Saccharomyces cerevisiae S288C: one gene and its partner. The protein of the gene in region 1 binds, or shares a complex with, the protein of each later gene. Each region holds a gene or a part of one and is shown in the gene's direction. Other genes may lie near its edges.

What was found.
Region 2: the proteins of POP2 (region 1) and CCR4 are in contact, whole or in part, in a crystal structure (PDB 4B8C), measured with the Saccharomyces cerevisiae proteins. Residues at the interface, in NP_014450.3 of Saccharomyces cerevisiae: Thr194 (codon at 2,902), Leu195 (codon at 2,905), Ala196 (codon at 2,908), Arg197 (codon at 2,911), Pro198 (codon at 2,914), Ile199 (codon at 2,917), Gly200 (codon at 2,920), Thr201 (codon at 2,923), Phe202 (codon at 2,926), Arg203 (codon at 2,929), Gln211 (codon at 2,953), Arg214 (codon at 2,962), Ala215 (codon at 2,965), Asp218 (codon at 2,974), Phe219 (codon at 2,977), Asn221 (codon at 2,983), Lys253 (codon at 3,079), Lys254 (codon at 3,082), Glu255 (codon at 3,085), Ile256 (codon at 3,088), Met257 (codon at 3,091), Ser258 (codon at 3,094), Thr259 (codon at 3,097), Leu262 (codon at 3,106), Asn325 (codon at 3,295), Asn326 (codon at 3,298); in NP_009381.1 of Saccharomyces cerevisiae: Asn175 (codon at 2,600), Tyr177 (codon at 2,606), Ala178 (codon at 2,609), Asn181 (codon at 2,618), Asp332 (codon at 3,071), Asp333 (codon at 3,074), Leu335 (codon at 3,080), Trp336 (codon at 3,083), His337 (codon at 3,086), Ala338 (codon at 3,089), Leu339 (codon at 3,092), Asp340 (codon at 3,095), Leu341 (codon at 3,098), Leu344 (codon at 3,107), Gln345 (codon at 3,110), Ile346 (codon at 3,113), Phe347 (codon at 3,116), Asn348 (codon at 3,119), Ile349 (codon at 3,122), Ser350 (codon at 3,125), Asn352 (codon at 3,131), Ile353 (codon at 3,134), Tyr356 (codon at 3,143), Phe358 (codon at 3,149), Tyr363 (codon at 3,164).

What each region holds. Positions count from the first base shown.
Region 1 is NC_001146.8:719,048-722,969, reverse strand, and holds POP2 (CCR4-NOT core DEDD family RNase subunit POP2), read left to right. Parts: upstream 1-2,322; coding exon 2,323-3,624; downstream 3,625-3,922. Other genes in the region: putative GTPase NOG2, read left to right, coding at 1-667, 1,200-1,850. UniProt on the Saccharomyces cerevisiae protein: Acts as a probably catalytic component of the CCR4-NOT core complex, which in the nucleus seems to be a general transcription factor, and in the cytoplasm the major mRNA deadenylase involved in mRNA turnover.
Region 2 is NC_001133.9:111,515-115,436, reverse strand, and holds the start of CCR4 (CCR4-NOT core exoribonuclease subunit CCR4), read left to right. Parts: upstream 1-2,077; coding exon 2,078-3,922. Other genes in the region: DNA-dependent ATPase FUN30, read right to left, coding at 1-518; ATS1 (Ats1p), read left to right, coding at 822-1,823. UniProt on the Saccharomyces cerevisiae protein: Acts as a catalytic component of the CCR4-NOT core complex, which in the nucleus seems to be a general transcription factor, and in the cytoplasm the major mRNA deadenylase involved in mRNA turnover.

The sequences.
Region 1 (3,922 bases):
CAGGAATAAGAAAGGTAATTTAATTAGGGCCGCTTCTTTCCAGGACTCCACAATACCGGATGCGAGGGTCCAACCAGATCGTCGTTGGTTCGGTAACACAAGAGTGATATCTCAGGACGCACTGCAGCATTTCAGAAGTGCATTGGGTGAAACCCAAAAAGATACATATCAAGTTCTTCTGAGAAGAAATAAGCTTCCCATGTCATTGTTGGAAGAAAAGGACGCAGATGAATCCCCAAAAGCCAGAATTTTGGATACCGAAAGTTATGCTGATGCGTTTGGGCCCAAAGCCCAAAGAAAGAGACCACGTCTTGCTGCATCCAATCTAGAGGACTTGGTCAAGGCTACAAATGAAGACATTACCAAGTATGAGGAAAAGCAAGTCTTAGATGCCACATTAGGACTAATGGGGAACCAGGAAGACAAAGAAAATGGGTGGACCTCCGCAGCAAAAGAAGCTATTTTCAGTAAGGGTCAATCCAAACGTATTTGGAACGAATTATATAAAGTCATCGATTCGTCTGACGTGGTAATACATGTTCTAGATGCAAGGGATCCATTGGGTACCCGTTGTAAGTCCGTGGAAGAGTATATGAAGAAGGAAACACCACACAAGCATTTAATTTATGTTCTTAATAAGTGTGATTTGGTACCTACCTGGGTTGCAGTATGTTAACTTTTTTTTTTTTTTTTTTGATTCTTTCCAACCAAGAGGATAGCACGAGAGATTTTTTTTTTCGATAGAGTATGATTTTTATTACCAAACCTTTTTGTCAGGGTGCTTCTCTATCCGTTTTAGGATAAACTTATCTACAGAAGTGTCTGTTACTGTTTTGGAAGAGTAATACTGTTCGCTTATCCATATTTCCCCGTTCTGGGGAAGCCTCATGGGTAAATTAGAAGGACAACCTTTGTTTTAAAGGTATACCTTCGCTTTTTAGAACAGCGAGGATCTTATGAGTTGAGCTTTTGTTATTTGAGACTTTATCTCGGGCTCCATACAATATGTTCGTAGTAAAGATCCTCACAATTTTCTACTTTTTTTTTTTTTTTAGTTTAATCCACTCTTCGAAACAATCAATCTCGGCTATAACAATGATTATTACATTCTCTTGGGGCAAAAGATTACCTATTATGAAACAAAATGTATTTTTTACTAACAGAAGGTTTTTTTTTTTCAATTCTAACTTTACAAGTAGGCAGCTTGGGTCAAACATTTGTCAAAGGAACGTCCAACTTTGGCGTTTCACGCATCTATTACCAACTCTTTCGGTAAAGGTTCGTTAATTCAGTTGCTACGTCAGTTCTCACAGTTGCATACTGATAGAAAGCAAATATCTGTAGGGTTTATCGGCTATCCAAACACTGGTAAATCGTCCATCATTAACACATTGAGAAAGAAAAAGGTGTGTCAAGTTGCACCAATCCCTGGTGAAACTAAGGTCTGGCAATATATTACTCTTATGAAAAGAATTTTTTTGATTGATTGTCCAGGTATTGTGCCGCCTTCTAGTAAAGACTCCGAAGAAGACATTTTATTCAGAGGTGTTGTCAGAGTCGAACACGTCACACACCCAGAACAATATATTCCAGGTGTTTTAAAACGTTGTCAGGTAAAGCACTTGGAAAGAACTTACGAGATCTCAGGATGGAAGGATGCCACGGAGTTTATTGAAATTCTGGCAAGGAAACAAGGTAGATTACTGAAGGGTGGTGAGCCTGATGAGTCTGGTGTTTCTAAGCAAATATTGAATGATTTTAATAGAGGTAAAATCCCTTGGTTCGTCCTTCCACCTGAAAAGGAAGGGGAAGAAAAACCAAAGAAGAAAGAAGTTGAGAAGACGGCATAGAGGTAAAAACGGACAACCGGTGTATAATATTAATTTAAGATTACAAGTGATTTTTTTTTTCTTTTTTTTTGTTATTTTTTTTTTTGTTCTTATTATATGGCAGCAAACATTCTTGGGGAAACAACATAGATGGGTAATTATTTAGTTTATAAAGTATAATATTCCAATAGAAAACTTAAGTTCGGTAATGATATAGCCCTCTCTATAGTATAAGGTAAATCTCATTATACCAGTCATTCCAAACGGAATTCGGTCCTTACCCGCTGCTCGCTCTTTTTTCATCATTATGATATTTTCTTTATTGAGTCTTTTCAATTATAGTAGTAGAATGATAACTGACAAGAAAGATCAGTTTGAAGTTTATTAGCGTGTCTCGTTATCAGGGCTTCCTTGTTTTTCATACTGGAAATACTTCGAACGATTAGAAACAGGCAACTCAATTTTATACATTTATAAAGGGTCAAAAAGGATTATGCAATCTATGAATGTACAACCGAGGGTATTAGCTGTAGGAGGTGAGCAGTTTTTCTCTCAGAGGCAGGCTTCTGAACAACACCAGCAGCAAAACATGGGACCTCAGGTGTATTCGCCAAAGGTTAATAGAGCAAGAATGTTTCCTCAAGGGATGCCTGTAAATACAATTAATGGCTCTGTTAATCAGGAGATGAACAATGCCTATCTTTTGAAGCAGAAGAACGAGCCACTGTTAACTCAGCAACAACAGCAACAGCAACAACAACAGCAGCCATTTAATATAGGAACGCCTGTTTCGGTGGCTAGTTTGCCGCCCGGACTGAACGTTCTGCAGCAACAACAACAGCAGCAACAACAACAGCAGCAACAGCAGCAGGGAGTGGGACTCAATCGTCCCTTGGCTTCCCAGCTACCCAAGCATTTAACCAACCAAAGTATGCCACCGATCTTTTTACCACCCCCAAATTATCTTTTCGTTCGCGATGTCTGGAAGTCCAACCTTTACAGTGAATTCGCCGTTATAAGACAACTGGTCTCGCAGTATAATCATGTGTCAATCAGTACTGAGTTTGTGGGGACTTTGGCTAGGCCGATCGGCACTTTCAGGTCGAAGGTCGATTACCACTATCAGACAATGAGGGCCAACGTAGACTTCTTAAACCCAATACAACTTGGTCTTTCCTTGAGTGACGCCAACGGCAATAAGCCTGACAACGGTCCCTCAACGTGGCAGTTCAATTTTGAATTTGACCCAAAGAAGGAAATCATGTCCACAGAATCGTTAGAATTACTCAGAAAATCAGGTATCAACTTCGAAAAACACGAAAATTTAGGCATCGATGTATTTGAATTTTCGCAGCTTCTAATGGACTCTGGTTTAATGATGGATGATTCTGTTACTTGGATCACATACCATGCGGCATATGATCTAGGTTTCCTGATCAACATTCTAATGAATGACTCCATGCCCAACAACAAGGAGGATTTCGAGTGGTGGGTCCATCAATACATGCCCAATTTCTACGACTTAAACCTGGTGTATAAAATAATCCAGGAGTTCAAGAACCCTCAATTGCAACAATCTTCACAACAGCAACAGCAGCAGCAATATTCACTAACCACACTTGCCGATGAGTTAGGGCTACCAAGATTCTCTATATTTACTACTACAGGCGGCCAGAGTCTATTGATGCTTCTATCCTTCTGCCAATTGAGCAAGCTGTCTATGCATAAGTTCCCAAACGGTACGGATTTCGCCAAGTACCAAGGTGTCATATACGGTATTGATGGGGACCAATGATCATTTATGTACTATATGTATACACAATTTTAAAAAAAAAAGTTTAAAAGCAACATCAGCTTATGATTGGACATGTAGTAATACAGATTGGTTCTTCGATGCAATAAGCACTCTTCCACAGGAGATTGATGCGTTATTCCCGTATAGTTATCGGTCACGTGCGCTGTAGTTTGTTTAACCATTTATTTTTTCTTGGAAATTTTTTCGTCCAAAGCAGCGAAAAACATCAGGTGGCGATTAATGAAAGAATGACATATTGCAAGCAGCATAACCGTCCATTCCAGGGATAAGAGGAAGT
Region 2 (3,922 bases), on another chromosome or scaffold:
CGGTCAAAAATGGACGTTTTCTGTTTGGCCACGGTAATCTTGGAGGATTTGTTGTTGATATTGCCATGGATAGATGATAAACGGCCTGTGTTTGCCAGTGGTAATGACTTCTTGACAGGTGGCGGGGTTTCTGACTTCTTGGGAGATGCGTTCTTGTTCCATGTCCAATTTTGTCTTTGCTGCCTCAATCTTGTAAGACGTTCCCTGGCAGACTGTAAGTTAAAAGAGTTAGATTTGAAAACAGCCTGCACCAGAGTTTGAGAGAAATCGGGGAACTCTCTCGCAAGGTTAACCAGTGCTACCTCAGGACTCCCAGATGGGAGCGGCTTCGAAGTATGAGCTCCTTCGCTGGGATCTGAAGGCTTGAAAGTAAACCTGCTTCTCAAAGACGCCACACTTGCATCCGGAACTGTTGGCGAAGTAGGCTTTAAGGGAGACGACGATGCTACCTTGGTGGGAGAGGACGTCTCGGGCACTTGCACTACGTCATCCTCATCATTTGAATGCGAACCACTCATGTTTTCAACTATAGCGTATTTTCTCTCTTTTTCTTGTTTACGTTCCTTACTGTAGATAGTCGGGTGTCCACCAGTAGCAACAAACTCGAATATAGAGCACTATAGCACACGCCAGTACTGATTTAAGTTACGTGTTGCATTGCGAGATGGGCTCATGATCTCTTTTAATCCTACAAAGTGAAAAATTATGAAAAATTTCGCGGCGACGGGGGTAACGCAGCCGTTTGAGCCTTGATAATGCAGGCAGATCCAAAGCGCAAGTGATGGAATGTGATCATTAAAGGCTATAACAGGCTTGTATCGATGAGTTGTGTGTATGCGTTTGGGTCTAATGGGCAAAGGCAACTGGGACTGGGGCACGATGAGGATATGGATACCCCACAGAGGTCTGTGCCAGGAGATGATGGAGCAATAGTCAGGAAGATAGCGTGCGGTGGGAACCACAGCGTGATGCTGACAAATGACGGGAATCTGGTAGGATGTGGAGATAACAGACGGGGAGAACTGGATAGTGCGCAAGCACTGCGGCAGGTGCATGACTGGAGGCCCGTGGAAGTACCGGCACCCGTGGTGGATGTGGCGTGCGGCTGGGACACGACAGTTATTGTGGATGCTGATGGCCGTGTATGGCAGAGAGGAGGCGGTTGCTACGAGTTCACTCAGCAACATGTGCCATTGAATTCCAACGATGAGCGCATCGCAGTATACGGATGTTTCCAGAACTTTGTGGTGGTGCAAGGCACCCGAGTATACGGCTGGGGCAGCAACACAAAGTGTCAATTGCAAGAGCCCAAATCCCGATCACTGAAAGAGCCCGTATTGGTGTACGATACCGGGTCTGTGGCCGTAGACTACGTGGCCATGGGCAAGGACTTCATGGTCATAGTGGACGAGGGCGGCCGCATAGTGCACGCATCCGGTCGCCTGCCCACTGGGTTCGAGCTCAAACAACAGCAAAAAAGACACAATCTAGTGGTACTGTGCATGTGGACCTCGATCCACCTGTGGAATGCGCGCCTCAATACGGTAGAGTCGTTTGGTAGGGGCACACATTCCCAACTCTTCCCGCAAGAGCGCCTAGACTTCCCTATTGTCGGTGTTGCAACCGGGAGTGAGCACGGTATTCTAACTACTGCTAATCAAGAAGGCAAGTCTCACTGTTACAATGTATACTGCTGGGGCTGGGGAGAGCATGGCAACTGCGGCCCGCAAAAGGGCTCCCAGCCTGGACTGCAGCTCGTGGGCCAATACTCTGGAAAACCTCGCGTGTTTGGCGGATGTGCCACCACGTGGATCGTGCTCTAGCACTGATAAGTAACTATATACCCACTATCATATACATAGATGTCCATTCAGCATTAATTCTCATCGTGGTAGATCTCAAAGGTAAAGTAGCCGTTTAGGCCTTTTGTTATCGCCCGTACTTGCGAAAAACGGGCCAACAACGAAAAAATTTGAAAAAGTTTCCACCTTAGAGAAGGTTCTCAAGCACAAGGGCACAGCATAAGGGACACCAGCAAGGGAACTCCGACTGACGTTATCCCTGCAAACTACCGCTAATGAACGACCCTTCTTTACTAGGCTACCCTAATGTGGGCCCGCAGCAGCAACAGCAACAGCAGCAACAGCAGCATGCCGGGCTACTAGGAAAGGGTACACCAAACGCTCTACAGCAGCAGCTACACATGAACCAGCTCACCGGGATACCTCCACCGGGACTCATGAACAACAGCGATGTACACACTTCCAGCAACAACAACTCGCGCCAGTTGCTCGACCAATTGGCTAATGGGAACGCGAACATGCTCAATATGAACATGGATAACAACAATAACAACAATAACAACAACAACAACAACAACAACAACGGCGGTGGAAGCGGGGTGATGATGAATGCCTCCACAGCCGCAGTAAATTCTATAGGGATGGTTCCTACCGTTGGTACGCCTGTGAACATCAATGTGAACGCCAGTAACCCTTTATTACACCCGCACTTGGATGACCCTTCTTTACTAAACAATCCGATCTGGAAGCTTCAATTGCATCTGGCTGCAGTGTCCGCACAATCTCTGGGGCAACCCAACATTTATGCTAGACAAAACGCTATGAAGAAGTATTTGGCTACACAACAGGCTCAGCAAGCTCAGCAACAAGCGCAGCAACAGGCACAGCAGCAGGTCCCGGGCCCATTTGGCCCCGGACCTCAGGCTGCACCACCAGCTTTGCAGCCCACCGATTTCCAGCAATCTCACATTGCAGAAGCCTCCAAATCACTGGTAGACTGCACAAAGCAAGCCTTGATGGAAATGGCCGACACTCTCACCGACAGCAAGACAGCAAAGAAACAACAACCTACGGGAGATAGCACTCCCTCAGGCACGGCAACTAACAGTGCAGTTTCTACACCATTGACTCCCAAGATAGAGCTGTTTGCTAATGGCAAGGACGAAGCCAACCAGGCGCTCTTACAACACAAGAAACTGTCTCAGTACAGCATCGACGAAGATGACGACATTGAAAACAGAATGGTCATGCCCAAGGACTCGAAATACGACGACCAATTATGGCACGCGCTAGATTTGTCCAACTTGCAAATCTTCAATATCAGCGCCAACATCTTCAAGTACGATTTTCTAACGAGACTATATTTGAATGGCAATAGCCTCACGGAACTGCCAGCGGAGATCAAGAACCTAAGCAACCTACGCGTTTTGGACCTGTCGCATAATAGGTTAACATCTCTACCAGCGGAACTAGGCTCATGTTTCCAATTGAAATACTTCTACTTTTTTGATAACATGGTCACCACATTACCATGGGAGTTTGGGAACCTGTGTAACCTTCAGTTTCTTGGTGTAGAAGGAAACCCCTTAGAAAAACAGTTTTTAAAGATCCTTACAGAAAAATCTGTCACGGGATTGATTTTCTACCTAAGGGACAACAGACCAGAGATTCCCTTACCGCATGAACGTAGGTTCATCGAAATCAATACCGATGGGGAACCACAGAGGGAGTACGATTCTTTGCAGCAATCCACTGAGCATCTGGCCACCGATTTAGCCAAGAGGACGTTCACCGTCTTATCCTACAACACCTTATGTCAACACTATGCCACCCCAAAAATGTACCGTTACACACCGTCGTGGGCGTTAAGTTGGGATTACAGGCGCAATAAATTAAAGGAGCAGATTCTCTCGTACGACAGTGATCTGTTGTGTTTACAAGAAGTGGAGTCTAAGACTTTTGAAGAGTATTGGGTGCCCCTATTGGACAAGCACGGTTATACAGGCATCTTCCATGCAAAGGCAAGAGCCAAGACCATGCATTCCAAGGACTCCAAGAAAGTGGACGGGTGTTGCATTTTTTTCAAAAGGGACCAATTCAAGTTGATCACCAAAGACGCC